Linked DNA regions of Neodiprion lecontei. The protein of the gene in region 3 binds, or shares a complex with, the protein of the main gene of each other region. Links are inferred from orthologs where the notes say so. Each region holds a gene or a part of one and is shown on either strand. Other genes may lie near its edges.

Region 1 (3,396 bases), on a different chromosome or scaffold from region 3:
AACCAAATGATGGCTTTTGCCTGTTGATATCAGATCGAGGGACCGGAGTGTAGGATTTTATAAACATTATACATACATACATAGGTATTAGCTAGATGTATAAAATAATACGTAGTTAAAATAGGTAGAATCCAACTTTTATCAATTATTAAAATTATACATGTATTCGCATAGGCTCCCGATTGTTCACAAGCTCCGTTGCTCTTCCACCTTTACCTTCTTCTCTGTACCTAACCTCTTCCGTAATTCAGCGTAAATTAAACAAAAAATCTGTTAACGAACTCTTATATACTTTATTGATGCAAAAAAGGAAAAAAAAGATGAAAAAAAAGTGTAATTTATTTATTGTAAATGAAGAAAGTATATTGCCTAAAAAAATGAAAATAATGAAATTAAAAGAAATAAAAAGAAAAAAAGACAAACGAGTTTTAAATTCATTTACAACCAAAGTAAAAAACGTATTCAATTGTGTTGCTTAGAAGTAAGAAAATTTGATGTATTAAATAAGCTAAAATATATTTCTTTGACATATATGTCATTTATTTCACATACAAGAAAAAATGGTCAAATATTAATTCATCGCAGTGTAATTACATATAATAAATTGAGGCGCGATGATCATCTTCATAGAATTCCATTATTGTTAAGAATTTGTACAGGGTTTTGTGGCTGGTCACAACACATCTATCGAGCATCGAAGACGACGACTGTTTATTATTATTGTGTTAAGGAATGTAAAGGAGATGTGTTTTCCAAATTTTTGTAGTGAGTTTATTTTTGATTTTATAAGGTCAGTGGTGAAATCATCAGCTGGCAAGATATCGAACAATGATGTTGTAGTATGGGAATTTATTAATCGTAACAATAATTTGAAAACATGTGAAAAGTCCCTGAACTCGTCAGTGAAAAGATAGCGTTGAATTTCAGCGGAAAGCAACCTAGTGTTATAGGTTGTTGCGTTAAAACATTTACGTGGATGAAGTTTAAAACCAAGAAAGTCAAAAAACTCTGCTGCTATCAGTGCTGATCTTTCAATCGAAGTGATGCCAAATTGGACTCATAGTAAACTATTTTTTTTTGATCTGACAGAAGAAGGCCAAAGTTCAATAAGTTGATTAAACAATTGGTGAGGCAGACAACAATAGAAAAGGATACGTCGCTTGGTGCGTTTCTTGTACATTATCCTGTACCCACATTCTCGGCAACGTATCGGATCTCTAGGACGGATCTCGTTGTCGTGGTGACATTCTGAAAACGAGATGTAAAACAATAATGAAAAGAAGAATAAGCCAGAGAAGATACAACAGAGAAAACTGATAAATAACCAAACAGACAGGATGCTTGATCGTTGTGTGATGTTTAATCATGTGTCAAGTAAGTTTAAGGTTGCGATTGTATTGATTACTTGTGAAGTTGAAACAAGATGCTACAATAACTTTTGTTCTTAAAAAAAAAACTCTTATTCAGACCCACGTGTAGCCGTATCGGTAAACAAAGCTATGCATAACATAACCTCGATGATCCAAGTTTGAGGCAAAGTATCGCTCACCTCCGCAGATGTAAACCATAGCTTGCTTAGGCGCAGATTCCGCTTTACTGCTAGTGTCCATATCACGAGGTAATCAAGATAATTAAGCCAATATTTATGCGTTTCTTACGGATCCTTCTGCTCGTCTCCGAAAATCGTTGTGTTTAGAACGCTTAAAAGTGTTAAAGTAACCTTACTTAACCTAATGTAATGTCGATATTATACCTGGTTAGTTCCCCGACAATCCACGATGCACAAGAAGCGCTAAAATCGGCGCGCACAATTGCATTGCATGGCGTGAGACAATAGCGAAGACACATCCGACACTTACCGATCGAGTGGTTGTTGCAATAAACATGTTTTTGGGTAATAATACCCACATTAGCATGGAAGTATGAATTAATTGAATGAGGGTAGTTGAGAACTGTTTTCATACAATATCCTCGATATTTTTATAGATCTGGTAATTTGCCTATCCTAGATATCAATCTAACCGACAGCAGGTTAGAGTAAGCTTTTCAAGCACTTATCCTCAAAGTTTGGCGATGCAGTTTGATTAATTGGTCAAGTCGCATCCTTCGCAAAGGTTTTTCGGTGATTTGGTATTCTCGACATCATGTTGAAGATATAATTCAGCTTGACAATTGAAATACTTAGTATCGAACAGTAACAAAAAATCCGAAATATATATAGATGGTACTCCATTTTTCTATCATTTTCCGTCAGGTAAAACGAACCTTAATGAATTCGTAATGAAAATCTCTGGAGAACGATTGACCGCGAAGACAGACATGTCGAATTTGCAGGGTTGGCAACCGTGCGATGCGTTCCCGCCTTTCCCGCCTAGTATACCGCGGCTCTCGCTGGCGGGCGTCCCTGCCGTCCCGCCTCCTTGTCAGGATCTCGCGCGGTTTAGAGAAAGAGAAAGAGTAGTGATCGAATCGCGGAGCAGCGAGGAAGTGTGCCATCACAGCGTGCGTGTTGGCGGGACACGGTGTTGTTCTCAGCCTGCGATAGCGATAATATAAGCGTAGGCGTGCAAACGAGAGGAGAAGAAGAAGACGCGTTACACCAGAAAAGGAAAAAGAATCCAATAACAGAAAACAAATCTCGCCGCCAATGGGATTCGGTTCGGCTGAACCGGCGGGAGAGCAGCTGCACCGCCAGACGGCGTCCTCGCACCCGATTGGCTGAGATCCGGCGGTCGGCCCTCGGTAGGGCAACGGATAAACAGTTTTGAAAGGACTCAACTAGTCGAGTATCTCCACAGTCTCCGAGCAGGACCGGCTGCCCACGGAGCAGCAGCCAGTAACAGCAGCAGCACGCAGCGTGTCGAGCGGTCGGCGTGCGCGTTACGTTTAGTTCCCGGTGTTTTGTTGTGTCGCGCGGTCCTGTGACTGTTATCGTTTCTATCTATTCTTCAAAGAATTGGTTAAGTCGGTACGTTCGCGCAGTGAAAATAGAGGATATTATTCGCGCTCCTTTGGTCATTTACTCGTGATCGTGCATCCGATCAAGTGGTTTTTGTGTGTCTCATGTTGTGTGGTGATGCAGGTTTTCGTTACATCCGATGAACGTGAATGAATAAGGTGCGTGTCAAAAGTTTCTCGCTCAAATACATATCCATTCAAGTCAAAATATTGTAAAACCCACGTGTGTTTGTTGTTACTATTTATCTCCGCGTACCGTGACTCTTGTGTGTGTGTCTTTTCTTCATGTAGTTTCATTGCCGTGACCGATCAGTGCCGTTTATTTACTCGATTGTGTCTCGTGGAGAGAATAAGACTATTGGATACAGAAGCTGCGGCTGGCAGATCGTCGATTGAAGAGGGGCGACCCGGCGTGTTTGTTTACCGTACGTTATCCTT
Region 2 (5,289 bases), on a different chromosome or scaffold from region 3:
GTACGGAATGAAAAGTCTCTCATCAAATACTGCTTCGTCGATATGAAAGGAAAAGAAGAAACAATTTTTCACAGTAACTGCGAAAATCAGTTTCTTTTGCTTCAAGACTAAAACCCCTCAATACGGAATTGATAACGGCCTTCGAGTCTCAAGTGAGCTACTGAATGTATTGATTCTTTATTCAGAAATATATATATATATATTTTTTTTTGTAGTTCTGTAAAATAGGGTACAAGGGAGAGTAAAGTGAAATATATTACAATAGATATGATGTGGAGGGTCTTCGTTCAGTCATTGTGATAAAATTTTGGACTATACTGCGAAGAGTATACTGGTAGTCTTCGCTTGTCTGGGCTGATTCCTTCTCTCGCTGAGTAATACCGTCTTTCGATAACTTTGTCGAAAAATCGGCTCAGCTTCACCGAAGAACTCGAGCCTGCAGCCAAGGATCTGACTTGATGACAATCCTGACAATGATCAAAGAAATCTTTAATTTAAAAAATAAAATCAATTTCAACCCAATGAAACAAACATACACAATATTTGGCATCGACCGTTTGCCTTTTAATTTTATTACCAAGAATATTTCGTCCGCTCCACATTCCTCAGCAATTGTAGATGAACGTCGATGAACACTTGATCTCACTTCTGCGGCCAGATCAAACTTTGTTGCAATTACCAAAATTGGTATCTGGAAATAAAATTTCAGGTTTTGACTCTTGTGAGGTGATTTTAATTTTGATAATTGTCAAAACATTACTAATCTATGAATGAAATTTGTAAAACTATACTTTTTTGTAAGCAATTCTCAAGCCATCATTCAAAGTTGACAGATTCTCATTTCATCGGCTAAGCAGCCAATTAAAAAATAGTTACTTGTGTTGAACCGACGAACTGTTCGGGATCAAAGTCGTCGAAAGATTTAGACTTGGAATGGTTACCGTCCTTGTTTAGAACTTCCTGAAGCCACTTCTGGAGATTCTGCTGCGACTTTCTATTAGTCAGATCGTGAACCAAGATAATACCTGAAAATGAGAAAATTCTATTATAATCAGAACACAAGTTTATCACGTATATTTCTGAGATTCTTACACCGTACTTTGCATACCATTTGTCGGATTGTAAAACACAGATCTAGTATTTTGGTGATTCTGACTACCGCCGATGTCCCACAACTCTATAAAGTATCTTCTTTGATTCGGAGTGCCTTCTTTGTACTCATGCAGCTTTACTTCAACCGAACATCCTACTGTCCACGACGGATTCCCTATCGGTTGTTGATGGCATATTAAATGAGTCAGTGAGGTTTTTCCAACACCTGTAAAAATAAAAGGAAGACTTGCTTACAGACTGTTTATATAATAAGTAACAACAAAAGTGGATCAAAATATGCATGTACAGTGCATAGATGGGTAAATAACCTTAAAAACCTCGTGATTTCCCCATGAATAAATATATTCGTAACCAAATTAAATCTACGATTTATTGCCGGAGGAACGGTAAAGCGGCGATGCAAACGAAGAAAATATTAAATTAAGTGAATTGCGTATACGTGGTGATCGCGATCTGTGAACAGATTCTTTTAGCGAATGATCCGAAGAACGAAGAATGCCGTTAATGGGTAAGTGATAATTTAGCAGAGGATAATTATACCAGAATCTCCGACAACGATTATTTTGACCTTATCGATCGCTGCCATTTGTACAGTTACATTCGAATTCTGACTTGAATTTCCTGACAGCAACCGGCGGAGCGGAATCTAGGTACAGTTTTTGTTTGACAAGCTCCACCTCCCCGCCGAACGCGGCATCATAACCTCAAGTAACGACTCTAGCCATCGATGCACCCTGTGTTAAATTTCCGAAAAACTATGCAATTACGCGTTATTTATCCGTGATCGTACCACCGCTGGAACTGTTAATTAAGAATGCGGCAATATTCGTTAATTGGAGTTACAAATAGGCCGTCGAAATAAGAAGAACCGGGTTTTTCCGATAGTTGAAGGTTATAATATCGTTGTGATGGCGAATAAGTAGATAACGAATTGAATGTTTTTACACCTAAGAAATGCATAAGACCACATCAACGCCCTAAAAAAATCCCTCTCACTAACAGTCCGAGTAAATGGTGGGAATTATTGTATTCGAATTATTAGCAGAGAAATGAGTGGGGAGGAAAGATTTGTCACCGAAGTGCCTAGCAGTTTGAAACAACTAGCACGGCTTGTTGTTCGCGGTTTTTATACCATAGAGGATGCCTTAATCGTTGACATGCTGGTCAGAAATCCCTGTAAGTGTAAATCTATTTAATTTGGCATCGCTCATCCCAGCCAACTAAAAAGTTTCAACTGTAGTTTTGTTTGTATCCTTCTATCAGGTATGAAGGAGGACGACATATGCGAGCTGCTAAAATTCGAGCGAAAAATGTTGAGAGCTAGAATATCTACGCTAAGGAATGACAAATTCATTCAAGTTAGACTTAAGATGGAAACTGGATCTGATGGAAAGGCGCAGAAAGTGAACTACTATTTCATCAATTACAAGGTAAAAATTGTCTCAGATTTTCCCTCCAAAATGCCTGCTAAATTTTGAATTTTAATCTTAATCCTTTAGACTTTTGTCAACGTTGTCAAGTATAAGTTGGATCACATGCGTAAGAAAATGGAAACGGAAGAACGAGACGCGACCAGCAGAGCCAGCTTCAAGTGCACAAATTGTCTTAAGACTTTCACGGACCTTGAGGTGAATCTAGCGATAGACAAACGTCTTGATGGACACAATCACAATTTCAATTTTTTTTATGGCAAACAATATTTATTCACAGGCAGATCAACTCTTTGATATGACAACAGACGAGTTCCGATGTACTTATTGTCGGAACATCGTTGAGGAAGATCAATCTGCTCTTCCGAAAAAAGACTCCAGGCTACTTCTGGCAAAATTTAACGAACAATTAGAGCCACTCTACATTCTGCTGCGAGAAGTCGAGGGTATAAAATTGGCACCTGAAATTCTCGAGCCTGAACCTGTTGACATCAATACCATACGAGGGTTAGCAATAAAAATATAATTTTCACTCTTGTTGGACAGCTGCAAATGACAAGTCAACTTTATATTCGACTGACATTACAGCATCGATACGAGGAAGCAAACTGGGCTTCGTGCTCCGGGTGAACAATGGTCAGGAGAGGCGACGAGGTCGTCTGGATTTGCTGTCGAAGATACGAGAGTGGATGTTACCATCGGCGATGAATCGGCCAATGATAACACTGCCAATCGTAGAAAAGAGAGGCCGATTTGGATGATGGAAAGCACTGTGGTAAACACAGATGGATCGCAGGTGTGTAAATGATGATATTGTAGAGAATGTGAATTTGGCAACGAATTTGAGAAAGCTGAATTTGAGAAAGTTGTTTTTGTTATTTCAGACGGACGTGGTTGGAGGCCAAGACAGTATTCTTGATAAGGCTGCAACGAACGCGACAAATGCAACGAACGCAACGAATAAACAGGGCGAAGACATAATGTCGGTGCTACTGGCGCACGAGAAAAAAGGAGGGACTAATGCTGCCAATGCCATTAAGACTGTAATACCTCAAGAATCTAGCGACAGTAGCGATAATGAGGATGTTACAGAGATACAGGCTATCGATATGGGTAATTGCTGCAAGATGATTGTATTTCTCAGCTTTTTAAGATGCTTATTTGAGACTTATTTCTTTGAACGATTCAGGTGATGTAGAGACGATGGATTCAGAGGACGACGACTTGGTGCCCACGGTTAGTGTGGGAGGAAAAACAGTTTCAATTACAGATATCAATGACACTTTGATTGCCGATATGACGCCGGCAGAGAAAGAAGCTTACATTCAAACGTATCAAGAATATTATTCGCACATGTACGATTAGTCTGAAAACAGCTTGCGAGAGTTATATTTTTAAATTAAATTGTACGATGACTGTGAATTTACACACATATACGTGAAGTATGAGAATATTTTGTATAAGTATGAATATAATAAAAATCCATTGTTCACAGCTCCGTGTTTTGTAATTTGCCTTTAACAGCTGACTCGTGTGATACTGAGCTATAATTGCCATGAAAGACTGGTCAAATTTAAGAATTTATTAACATACTTGAAACCTAATATACAATAATATCAATCCAATAACATGTGGAATTAACGATACATTGATCAAGAAAATATATTGAATACGTGATAATAAATAACACTGAATTATTAACAATAATAGAACTAAAATAATTAATCAATAATAATACATGTCACTTCTGGTAAGAACGGGAAATGTCATTATTTATACTATATTAAATGTTTTTCTTTCCCTACCAACTTCTTATGTTATCACTGGATAATAAGTAAAACTTACTTGGGGATATCTTTTTTTTTGCTCGTCTATTTCAAAATTTTTGCTCGACCACCACAATCGAACCCAAATTTGGGGATGATAGAACAAGGATTTTCTGCATATTTTTCGTTTTTTTTTCTTTTTATCAGTTTTTTCGATAATTCAATAGGTAATAATTTTATCGTAAACAAGTTATTTGAGGTAACTTTATGTACATTATAACTTGACTTACGAGACTTGATATATCACTCTACAATTCGGTTTATAACTACTTACTTTTCATTGCTTGCTTTGAAAAGAACCCAAGCATCGCATAATATCACACAAGCAATGGCATCGCGCATCGTTTTTCCCCCTCAATAATTTTTCTTCACGTCCTATACATTAGATCATACAAAAATGTCATCGGCTTTCAGAATATTCGTGGTAACATCAACAAAATCTGATCAGATTTTCTGATTGTTGATACTTTTGAAAGGATTACATTTTCATACTTGCATTTCAAAATTCTTTCACTGTTACGCCAGGCAATTTGATATTTTGCCCTTACAAGCTGTCAACTCGAAAATGAGAATAGACGCATGATTAAAATAAAGACTTAACGATCTTCTATGACTCACTTGCAAACGTAAAATTGGTGCGACTAATTTCAACAATTGAATATTCATAGTGCGAAGTCGTCTACGATGCATATCCATTGCAAAAGTAGATAAATTTACATTCTTTTCATAGCATGTGCAGCGTATACTCCTCGGTGTTTTATTCTGGCTCGTTAAGACGCAAGCGAGCAAAGTCCTCAAAGACAATGTTGTCGTCGTCGTCATTGGCGTAGCAAGAGTTTTCATAGCGTGCACGATCGATGCTCTTGCTCTTCTTCAAAACTGCTTTCTCCTTCTCTAGGGCACCTGTCGCAGAAGAAATG
Region 3 (3,990 bases):
CGAAATGTCGAAAAAGATCGCAAGAGAAGGAATTTTCCGAATTAATTAACGATATTCGTATTAACTTCCACCCGCTGCTTGCAATGAAAATAGTCGGAAAACTGCCACCGACTATTTCAGTATAGGGCCACCTTATGTATTGCCTAACTGGTGATTATTACTGCCAAATATCGATTGAAAACTTACAGCGATTTTCAACAAATATGATATAAGAAACACGAAGCTATACGCAACTACCGGTGATTGCGTTATGTATTGAGCATGTAGCAATTTTCTCGTCGTAGAGTCAAAAAACCGAAAGTCTTTTTATAAATTTCTCTGCTGCTAGTCCAACGCTGTTTTTGATGTCATATTTTCTGCATTTTTGGGGGTCCGATTAATCTAGAAGGCATCAAACAAATCAATTTGAGACAAAAGATTTTTTGGTTCAAAAAGTAGGACTAACCTCTTTGGATTTTTTCAGTGGGAGTTTGTCTGACTTTGTAAAATAGTTGAATTACTTTTTCAGTGCACCATCTCGACTTAACTTTCCCAGACGAATCCATTGCGCAGTCTAGACACGCTGCCAGCTACGCATAAAAACTTACGGCTAAAGAACATGAATTTTGTACCGGGTTTTCAAAGAGATGTAAAAGCAAAATCACAAACTCACAGCTACAAAGTTCCAGTTCCAGTTTATCCAATGTGTCTTAGTTCTCGTACAAGTGTTCAGGTGTCAGTGTATTCATCTATAGACATGTAGACAGTCTGTGTTCAACAAGCTGCCAAGTAATATTAAAGTGAAAGACAAAGAGACTAGGAGGAAAAAGAAGTAAAATATACATCACTTCAAGCAAAATACGAAAAACGTTGTATGAGATAGTTATTTTTGTAGTTTGTGAGTACGGTTCAAGTTCTGTCCTACACACAGGTGCAATGTATGTACATACATACATCTGCAGGATACGATATGTATGATATTGTATTATTACTATTGCATGGAACCTGTATTACAATCAATAAATAAACAATACCCCTGTGTCCTCTTCGCATTTTCTCGACATAATTCAACGAGAGATTTGATATTCTCCATTTTTTCACACTTTCAATTAACAATCCTAGATTTTTTAACTCTTCGAATGAAAATGTAATTGAGATCCATTGACCTAATCACGTGGGTTTCAACGCGCGGCAATCAACCGTTGCGTCGGTATCTATTTTCATGAGCCAATTTTCCCGCCGACACGGCGTGAAGCTGCCGAATCAAGTCGCCGTCGTGTCGGAACCGTGCTTAGACAGTTGCCGTCGCCAGCAGGCACAGGCGCATTTCTTACGCTGCAGAGATAACAGTACATCCAAGAGATGAAGTATCACGAAGGTAATCCGCGAATGGTACGTGCGGACAGAGATGAATTCCCCTTTCGAATCACTGATCACCATAATATAACACAGTCAATATGTATACTGACAATTAATCTAAGTTCGCTAATGTTTATCGTCTGTTAGTTCTCAACCACCCACCAGCATTCCCCGTGATAAATGCACTCTACATTATCGACTACTTTCGATATCGACATTCGCTTACCAACGAAAATTAGTTCACGAACTTCTTCGTATCAGAGGGCGCTGGTAGGCGAAAAACGTTAGAAACGCACCTGTCAACTGTTTTGAGGGTGTAAACTGCAAAGTGTAAACTATCTAAAAGGCAGACTTGTTAAATTCATTTATATCCGTGATAAACTCGTACGGTAGAAGTTTTAAGAATTACGAAATGGATCCAGCGCTGTTAAGGGAGCGAGAGCTCTTCAAAAAGCGAGCCCTCACCACACCAACGTGAGTAAAACAACGCTGCGCGTTTCTAACCTGTAAATTAGTGAGAAACTGTGAATTAACCGCATTGCGAAGAATTGAAAAATATTGGAAGGCTCTGAAGTGCTTAGTTTAAGAAATAACCGCCTCTTAACACTTTCAGTGTAGAGAAAAAAAAGAGAGAACCCGAGAAGGAACCGATCCGTGATGAGCCGCCAAAAAAAAAGAGCAAGCCATTATCCTCCTCTGCCGCGCCGAAGTTGGACATGGTCAACTACAAGACCATGTCTGGCAGTTCGCAGTACAGATTCGGAGTCTTGGCAAAAATAGTTAAGCACATGAAGTCGCGGCATCAGGAGGGCGATGACCATCCTCTCACCCTCGACGAGATTTTAGACGAGACAAATCAGCTCGACGTCGGATCTAAGGTGATCCAAACATTTTGTAGAACTGCTTAAAAATACTTGCGATTATTTCAATCAAAAGATAAATCGTGCTAAAGCCAGAGCTTGCATTAAAATTCAACTATACTACCAGTAATTCTATTTACCATTCTTTATTCGTGCAGGTAAAACAATGGCTGCTGACAGAGTCGTTGATTAACAATCCAAAGATCGAAGTCTCTCCAGATGGAAGATTCTCCTTCAAAGCGATGTACAAAATAAAAGACAAGAAATCGTTACTCAGACTCTTGAAGCAGCAGGATCTTAAGGGACTCGGAGGCATCCTGCTTGAAGACATTCAGGAGAGTTTGCCGCATTGCGACAAAGCTCTGAAGGTAAATCGTTCTCCCTCAGGATATTAATGAGCTATTATTTTGGTGCAAATCGTGTTATTTTTTATCTTACTGATGCGCAGAGTCTCCAGAACGAAATACTCTTCATAACAAGACCTTTGGATAAGAAAAAGATAGTGTTCTACAACGACAAAACGGCCCAATTTATAGTCGACGATGAATTTCAAAAATTGTGGAGGGCTGTTGCAGTCGACGCAATGGACGATCAGAAGATCGATGAATACCTTGAGAAACAGGGAATTAGGTCGATGCAGGATCACGGACCAAAGAAGCCTGCACCCATTAAAAGGAAAAAACCAAACGCAAGGAAGAAGCAGTTCAAAAAACCACGAGACAACGAGCATTTGGCAGATGTTTTGGAAACCTACGACGACAATAAATGAAGCCGAAATTTAAAGACTTTATAGATAGATGGCTTAATCAAGGATTGTAAATATCGTTTGTATAAGAATAAATAAACAATGTGATTTATTATTGTTATCGTCTAAACTAGCTTGTAAGTACAAAATAAATATATATCTATAATATTTTGAACAATAACTAGTCCGCTTCATCTATATTTCAATTGCCATTTCTTTCCTCTCTCTGAATGAATATATTAAAGACCAATAAGCCTCTCGTCTTGCAATATTTAGTTACATCGGAAGTCTACCTAGTTGTATTCGCGACTACATAGGTATGATGATTGAACCGAAGTATATTGTAGCACAAAGTTTAAAAAATAACAAAGTATCAAACGACGATCGTTGATACTTTTTCCGCCACCATGGAATTCCATAGAAAGTGCATTTCAGACATGAGATTTCGAGGATTTTCGCGCAACTTTGCAATTTGCTTTCTATTTCTCACGGCCAAGTTGTGCGAAATGGAAAAAGCATGATTCGTGATTTGCATTGATATATTAGAACTGTTCAAAGTGTATTCAAAGATTAATCTGTTCTAACGCTTGTTAAACAATTTTCTCCTGATATCCACGTTATTCAATGCTTGATCCAATTACATGGGTTCGGATTGTTGTCTTAGCGCGCTGGATCATCGGGATTCAAGTTTCCGCAAGATCTTATTTGGTAGTGGCAATTAAAATACTCCAAAAGCGTAGTATTTGAGTACAATACGAATGATAGTAAAATTAACGACGGTAATTATATCGATCTTAAAGGCACTAAGTCAAGTCTTCAGCACCTTAGGGTATAATAATTTAACTTACGATTTACACAAATTATACAACCTTCAACCAGATTATTTTACAGCATTAATATAAATTGTAATAGTTGAAATATAACGACGAAAGCGTTTCAGCTCCACGGACATACAGGGTATCCCGTCGTAAATCATTCGTTACAATATCTCTAATTGTAAAACTAGAGTTGCTGTTGAAAAATTTTTCAGAAAATAACTGTATGGTT
Region 4 (5,873 bases), on a different chromosome or scaffold from region 3:
AAATCCGACTGAACTGGACGTGTTTGGCTTCGTAAGTGTATCGTTCTCTCCCTGAACGGAGTATAATAATGTATCAACATTGACCAGTTTAGTGCAGTTTTTCTTCTTCATTTTTTCTTTTGTTTAATATATTTCTACGAATAGGTTGCCTGCAAATTGCCTGTGTAATACTGCAAAAAGATTTAAAGTCATGGTTTGCCGAGTTGAATGTGGATATGGAAAAGATTCAGGAGATTGCCAGGTACATAATTAACTTATACGAGTTGTGGAGAACTTATGACGAGAAGAAAGAAATACAAGGATTATTGGGCAAAATGCCGAAACCAAAGGCTGCACCGCAACGCTGACATCAACCTCCTGCGGATCCTTTGAACTGGGAATCACGTCAGGAGGATCGTTTGTACAATTAATTACTTAATCTTTATAAAAAATTATTGGACCGTAAGGAATGAGAGAATATTATTTTGCTCTCTGCTACATTGACTGTGAGAATATTTGGGAAATTACGATCATCAAATATTGATAAATTTAATCAAATTTATTTCCTTATTTTCGTAACCTTTATCATAGAAATTATTTATATCATTGACACTGTAATCCCACTAGCTTCCAGGTCTTTGTAACTTCTTATCAGGACTGGCATAATTATAGTTATCATCAAGAGCATTATTGTTACTCCAACGCCGCTTTATTCCAGAGTGATCGGTGGCAGACTTTTGCAACCACTTTACCTACAAGTGCTCAAAAAGTGAAAATAGTAGTCTCATTCAGGAAGTAAATAATATTAACACAGTCTGAACATGTGAGACATACTGTAGTTGAAAGATGAAGAATTCGCCAGCAGGTAGCAATGCCCAAAGCAAAGCAAAAATTGAAATCAACTGCTTCCTTTCGAATAACGCTTCCAAAACTTTTTGACGTCATCATGACCCGCTTTTGTGACAACCATAGTCCGCTTTCTGTAAACAAAATGGTGAAAGAATGATCATCTCATTTTGAATATACTATGTTGTTTAATATCAAATAAGAATAAATGAAAATTAATTATACCAAAGTTAGACAATAAGCCCACATCCCTATTCTGTATTTTATATAATAACATTACCTTTCGCTTTGCCAGATTAGAACTTGGGTGGTGAGCGCGTGATCTCTGAGTACTTCAAAGTCAGTCTGTGAAAGAAACTGACTATACAGAACGCCCTCGCTAAATATAAATCTATTTCTTTCGTTTTCCCACAACTTGATTTGATCCACTATGGTAGGGGGCAAAGTTGGTGGTCCTAAGGCAATCATCTTAGGATGGGCATGCTGATGTAGGTATCTGTACAAGAAATGATTTTAGAATTGGGGCATTAATGAAACATCGAATAATGTGCGTATACCAATATTATTACGTACATACCCAACGATTTGTTCAGCTGTAATGCCGCTCTTCAGAGCTTGCCTCACTGAATCTCTTGTTAAAATGGATACAACCAAGTTTGGGAACCTGAAAACGGCCAAAATTACAAATCAGTAGTTGGTTTTCTGAAATTGAATAGGTGAAAAAAACTGATATTGCTTTAGACAATTTTTTCCATGCTTACCTGTAAAGCATTTCACAAAAGAGACCAAGCAGAGCGACTTGCAAATTAGAATTGGTATAAGCGTAAACTCTGTAATTGGTTTCCACGACTATATATCCTTCCTTCTCTAAGTCACTTGACAGAGGCTTATTTTGACCTGTGGCAATGTTTAGTGCTAGCCTGGTAGGGTAAAATCTAAGAAAATAAAACATACGGTATTACAATTTTAATATATTTATAAAGTATTTTCAGTATGTACACGCAGATAGAATGTGGAATAGATTCATCAGTTTGTTGAAATAATTACCTTCCAGCCTTACGTTTTCTTTGATAGACCAGACCAAATTCTCTGAGGTGCTGCAAAAATGTCAATAGTCCCTCTGACATACCTTCAGTACTGTAATCTTTTCCCAATGTCGAGAAATTCAATTGAAACAAGAAGGTTAGACAAACGACCAGATCCAGACCCCTGGCTTCTATAGTGTCCAAGTATTGAAGAATGAAGTACCAGACCTGAAAAGTAGTCAAATCATAGCTAATTGCTACTTAGTATTACGAGTTGGTACCTTGGAACGTATGGTGAAATAAAGAATACACAGGGTTACAAAGAGCTATCGCCCCCTAGGCTACCAATAGTACGAGGAATACACAGGTAGCTTATGGTGCGATAATCCCAAGTCACTTTGTATATGGTGGTCATAAACTGAATATTATATTACCATGAAAGACTGCTAATTTGTACAGTGTAAACAATAAATTGATGACTGGCCTATCAGTTGCTATTGTAAACCATGCACAACATTTACATTTTCAAGTAAGGAAAGGTTTTACACAAACACTACACGCAATCAACTTTTGTTTTGACTTTTGAGTAGCCAAAATTTAACCATCTTATAATTGACAGAATATCTTACCTGGGACGCTGTATCTAGCAGTAGAAACTGAAATCCTGCTTGTGTAATGACTGGGCTGCCGTCTTCCTCATCACGTTTCATCAGTCCAGCATGTAGCAGTATTCTTACCGCATCAGCCGATATTCCTAAGTTAAATCATTTGAAGCTGGCTATAAAAATTCAAAATTCAAATTTTCCTGATTTCGTGGCTCCTCAGAACCAATATTCACATTTTCGTTCCATATTAATTCTCTATGCTCAAACTTGTTAGTAAATTGTGATAGGTAATGGAACATTTCAATGGTTGATTTTTCTGTGGGTTTACTCTATCAAAATCAGTCGTATTAGCAAGTACTCCATCCTATATATTGTTTTGCTTCTGGTTGTGTACATGGCTTAGCCATTGGAGCATTTTTTATATCGCCTTGGAAAGATTTTGTGACTCTTTCAGATTTCAATATTTACATACATTAATTGATAAGTTATTGCAATTTGTAGCTTTTAAGATCATTTTGACAGCATAAACTGGCTCACCTTCTTGCTGCTGAGATCCGACCATGTAATGGAGAACACACTCCCACCTTTCCAAGGCATACGTATCTAGGAAGGCGACGTCTCGTGGTTTATTATCGGTTTCTAACTGATTTGACATCGTCCAAGGTTTACCGCCACCAAGTAAAACTATTTTCAAATTCTTCTTCAACGTTGAATTCAAAATCCACCCAGGTAGACCACCGGGGATTGATGCTTCCTTCCAGATATTCAGCTCATTGAGAATTTTGACGACCTTCTGATGCTCATCGGTATGTAACTTTGAACACCATGAAGCTATGACTGCCTGAGGTACGGGCTGTTCAACGAACAGCAACCGCATAACATAATGCCTGGCTATTTCAGGCAATTCCCGAAAAACGGCCAGACAAATCGGAGGGTTGTGATACAGTTTATTCAACGTTTCTGGCGGCCGAGTCTTTAGATATTCATGAAGATCTTTGCACTGCAGCCCAGTTGGACGCAATAAATTCTTACCACTTATCGTGTTTGACATGTTCGCATCAAGTCTTTGCCACTATTATTAACAAGCTTATGAATAGACTCCAGATCTTTTCTTGGCTGTCAACACACACATCTCGTCTCAGTTTTGGTTACTTTTCTGCAACTTTATAAACACAACCGCCACGCTGGGCTACTGAATGGGTACAACCTTTTATCGTTCAAACGGCCGTGGAAACAGCATAACCTATATTTTTATATTTTATACTCCGTTCGACGTCTCGGTCAGCCGTTGGCATAAATTCACCGAATAGGGATCAGTGGGTGAATTCCTGACATAGGTTACTCATATTCAATCACAGATAGCAGCCTCACAGTTACAGTTCAGTACTTATCCATACACAGACATACCGACAGAAATGTTTTGTCTTCTTCTAGCTCCTGGATTAGATAAAAACAGAGAACGTCCTATTACCAACCAAACGGCACGAACGACAGTCGCACTGATCAAAATTCTTAGGGCTAATTTTCCTACATGCTGGAGTACCCAACATTTTTGGAACTAATTCTTAAGGTCCATGGTAGGTAACTATGTCAGTAAACGACCAATATTCTGCAGTATTTAGCTTCAGGAACTAAGGAATGAACCAAACAGAACTAGGCCCGCCTCTCGCGGGAACAGATGGCAGTTTTCTTCTACGGAGCACGTCGAACTGCAGCAAACCCTTCTATCCATGCTTTTACTAACCCCTACTGTTCTATTGTGCAGTGTGCGATGGGATCGCACACCATTGACCATCGCATACAGTATAAGCATAAACCGACCCGCGCGATCCTCGTGTGAATGCGAGCCGATGAATGGGCTCGTAGCGCGGGTCCTATTCATTCATCCAGGTGTTATTAAACCAAAAGAAGAAAACGAAAGGAAGAATACAAGATAAATAAATAAATATAAATAATTCGCCAAGTATGGCGAGGTTGATTCTGCTCGAGACTCATAGCGAACATCATCTGCAGCTGCATCCTGATAACAATTATTAATTCCTATAGCGTGGTGACAAACGGATACACATCGATCGAGAGCATGGCTATTATACATGTATACGCGTTCTTCTATAAGAATAAATAAACGGAAAATATGAACGATGTGGCGGAGAGGACTGTTCGTTTAACATTAATGTGAAATTCGCTGTATTTCCAAACGTCGACGGTATTCCCGAGGAAGTAAAAACTGAAAGGAGACAAGGAACGACGACGCTCGTGGCTCGTCGCGGCGCGGGTAGATCAACGACGACGGGTTATAAGCCAGGGATCGCTCGGCTCTGGGCGGGGCGGAGCGAGGGGTTTGTCGTCGGTCGTCGGTCGAGGGCAAGCGGGACGTGCGGGGTTATTCGGGGGGCAGAGGTGGATTGGGGCGCTTCCTGTAGTTGGCGCTAGCCTAAAAAAAAAAGAAAGACAGCAAAGGAGTAAAAAGAGAGTTCACACGGTAGAATCGCGGTCGAATGTATTTTCAATGCAACGAAAATGGTGAAATTTGGGAAAAAGTGGGCATCGAGTAAAGGCTTTGACAGCTCGAACCATGACAGAGGCGTCGGAAGAGTAAGTAGATATAAAACGAATCATATTATTCTACCGAGCAAACAGCCCTGCTGTGCTATACTTCCATCGCCTACGATACATGATCAACGAACGCAGACATGCACACCTAAACCCACGCATACGCTCACGGAAAACAAAAATATTACACCTTAGCTACGATATACTCCGTTAAATACACGTATCCGCATTTACATGTTTCCAAACGCTTATGCACGTATCTATGCAACCGTACACCCTGCTCTACTCGACCGATTTCACCCTACTTCCAGCGACCGTTCTATCCTTTTTTTCGCACAGGGCTAGGTCTTCCGTCAATCGCTTCCACCATTTTATTCGGATTTCATTCTAAAATACAGTACTCTTTCCTCTCATCATTCGGCCAACGCATGATTCCTCGGTCACGCTTCCTTCCTGAGCCGATTATCCCTGTTTCGCACGTAATGTACGTAACGTATGTACGCGAATGCTGTCAACCCCTGCCTACCTAACATCCGTCATTCCATCAGTTGTCGAAAACTGTTCCACTAACGTCTATCGCGCGTATGTTCGTGTCTCACCTCCCTGCGTCCATCCAGCCCTTCCCCAGCTGTCATTGTACGATCCATTCATGAAATCCATCGGCCGTACGCGATTGATAATTTGCCGATTCCCCCACACGCGCGATTTCAGAAGGATTCGAGATCAGCCTTAACTTAATCAGAATCATTGGTCTGAACGATTTTGAGAGAGAAAAACACTTTCACTTCATTCTTTTACAACAGTTGAACGACTTTTAACACTTTCCAGTGGTAACTACTTGGTAAGGGTCAGGGCCCAGGTCATG

Evidence for each region.
Region 1: transcription initiation factor IIE subunit beta (region 3) and DNA-directed RNA polymerases I, II, and III subunit RPABC4 share a complex: the UniProt entries of both Homo sapiens proteins name them as parts of the TBP-based Pol II pre-initiation complex. The link is inferred for Neodiprion lecontei from reciprocal best matches to the Homo sapiens genes GTF2E2 and POLR2K.
Region 2: the proteins of transcription initiation factor IIE subunit beta (region 3) and general transcription factor IIE subunit 1 are in contact, whole or in part, in a crystal structure (PDB 5GPY), measured with the Homo sapiens proteins. The link is inferred for Neodiprion lecontei from reciprocal best matches to the Homo sapiens genes GTF2E2 and GTF2E1. Residues at the interface, in NP_002086.1 of Homo sapiens: Asp159, Gln160, Arg161, Gly162, Leu163, Gly164, Gly165, Leu167, Leu190, Val192, Asn193, Arg194, Pro195, Ile200, Phe202, Cys208, Gln209, Phe210, Ser211, Val212, Asp213, Glu215, Phe216, Gln217, Leu219, Trp220, Arg221, Val223, Thr224, Val225; in NP_005504.2 of Homo sapiens: Arg16, Lys19, Tyr20, Val21, Arg23, Gly24, Phe25, Tyr26, Ile28, Glu29, Leu32, Arg39, Leu51, Leu52, Lys53, Phe54, Asp55, Gln58, Gly68, Asp69, Lys70, Phe71, Lys73, Thr98, Asn101, Val102, Val103, Lys104, Tyr105, Lys106.
Region 4: transcription initiation factor IIE subunit beta (region 3) and general transcription factor IIH subunit 4 share a complex: the UniProt entries of both Homo sapiens proteins name them as parts of the TBP-based Pol II pre-initiation complex. The link is inferred for Neodiprion lecontei from reciprocal best matches to the Homo sapiens genes GTF2E2 and GTF2H4.

What each region holds. Positions count from the first base shown.
Region 1 is NC_060264.1:19,860,980-19,864,375, forward strand, and holds DNA-directed RNA polymerases I, II, and III subunit RPABC4, read right to left. Parts: upstream 1,756-3,396; 5' UTR 1,611-1,755; coding exon 1,550-1,610; intron 1,249-1,549; coding exon 1,156-1,248; intron 708-1,155; coding exon 685-707; 3' UTR 519-684; downstream 1-518. UniProt on the Homo sapiens protein: DNA-dependent RNA polymerase catalyzes the transcription of DNA into RNA using the four ribonucleoside triphosphates as substrates.
Region 2 is NC_060263.1:15,135,734-15,141,022, forward strand, and holds general transcription factor IIE subunit 1, read left to right. Parts: upstream 1-1,574; 5' UTR 1,575-1,589; coding exon 1,590-1,621; intron 1,622-1,653; coding exon of another isoform or gene 1,654-1,699; exon of another isoform or gene 1,700-2,153; intron 2,154-2,155; coding exon 2,156-2,289; intron 2,290-2,376; coding exon 2,377-2,543; intron 2,544-2,612; coding exon 2,613-2,741; intron 2,742-2,823; coding exon 2,824-3,050; intron 3,051-3,131; coding exon 3,132-3,339; intron 3,340-3,427; coding exon 3,428-3,656; intron 3,657-3,732; coding exon 3,733-3,908; 3' UTR 3,909-4,282; coding exon of another isoform or gene 4,283-4,313; 3' UTR 4,314-4,752; downstream 4,753-5,289. Other genes in the region: putative ATPase N2B, read right to left, coding at 4,283-4,313; rab-like protein 3, read right to left, coding at 288-467, 578-691, 877-1,025, 1,109-1,318, 1,654-1,699; arrestin homolog, read right to left, coding at 5,127-5,272.
Region 3 is NC_060261.1:43,445,215-43,449,204, forward strand, and holds transcription initiation factor IIE subunit beta, read left to right. Parts: upstream 1-1,613; 5' UTR 1,614-1,750; coding exon 1,751-1,812; intron 1,813-1,951; coding exon 1,952-2,216; intron 2,217-2,356; coding exon 2,357-2,566; intron 2,567-2,646; coding exon 2,647-2,967; 3' UTR 2,968-3,443; downstream 3,444-3,990. UniProt on the Homo sapiens protein: Recruits TFIIH to the initiation complex and stimulates the RNA polymerase II C-terminal domain kinase and DNA-dependent ATPase activities of TFIIH. Both TFIIH and TFIIE are required for promoter clearance by RNA polymerase.
Region 4 is NC_060264.1:26,469,256-26,475,128, reverse strand, and holds general transcription factor IIH subunit 4, read right to left. Parts: upstream 4,039-5,873; 5' UTR 3,507-4,038; coding exon 2,993-3,506; intron 2,605-2,992; coding exon 2,480-2,604; intron 2,079-2,479; coding exon 1,873-2,078; intron 1,761-1,872; coding exon 1,587-1,760; intron 1,490-1,586; coding exon 1,403-1,489; coding exon of another isoform or gene 1,399-1,402; intron 1,322-1,398; coding exon 1,106-1,321; intron 960-1,105; coding exon 878-959; 3' UTR 518-877; downstream 1-517. Other genes in the region: cyclin-C, read left to right, coding at 145-347; sprouty-related, EVH1 domain-containing protein 1, read left to right, coding at 5,031-5,050, 5,837-5,873. UniProt on the Homo sapiens protein: Component of the general transcription and DNA repair factor IIH (TFIIH) core complex, which is involved in general and transcription-coupled nucleotide excision repair (NER) of damaged DNA and, when complexed to CAK, in RNA transcription by RNA polymerase II.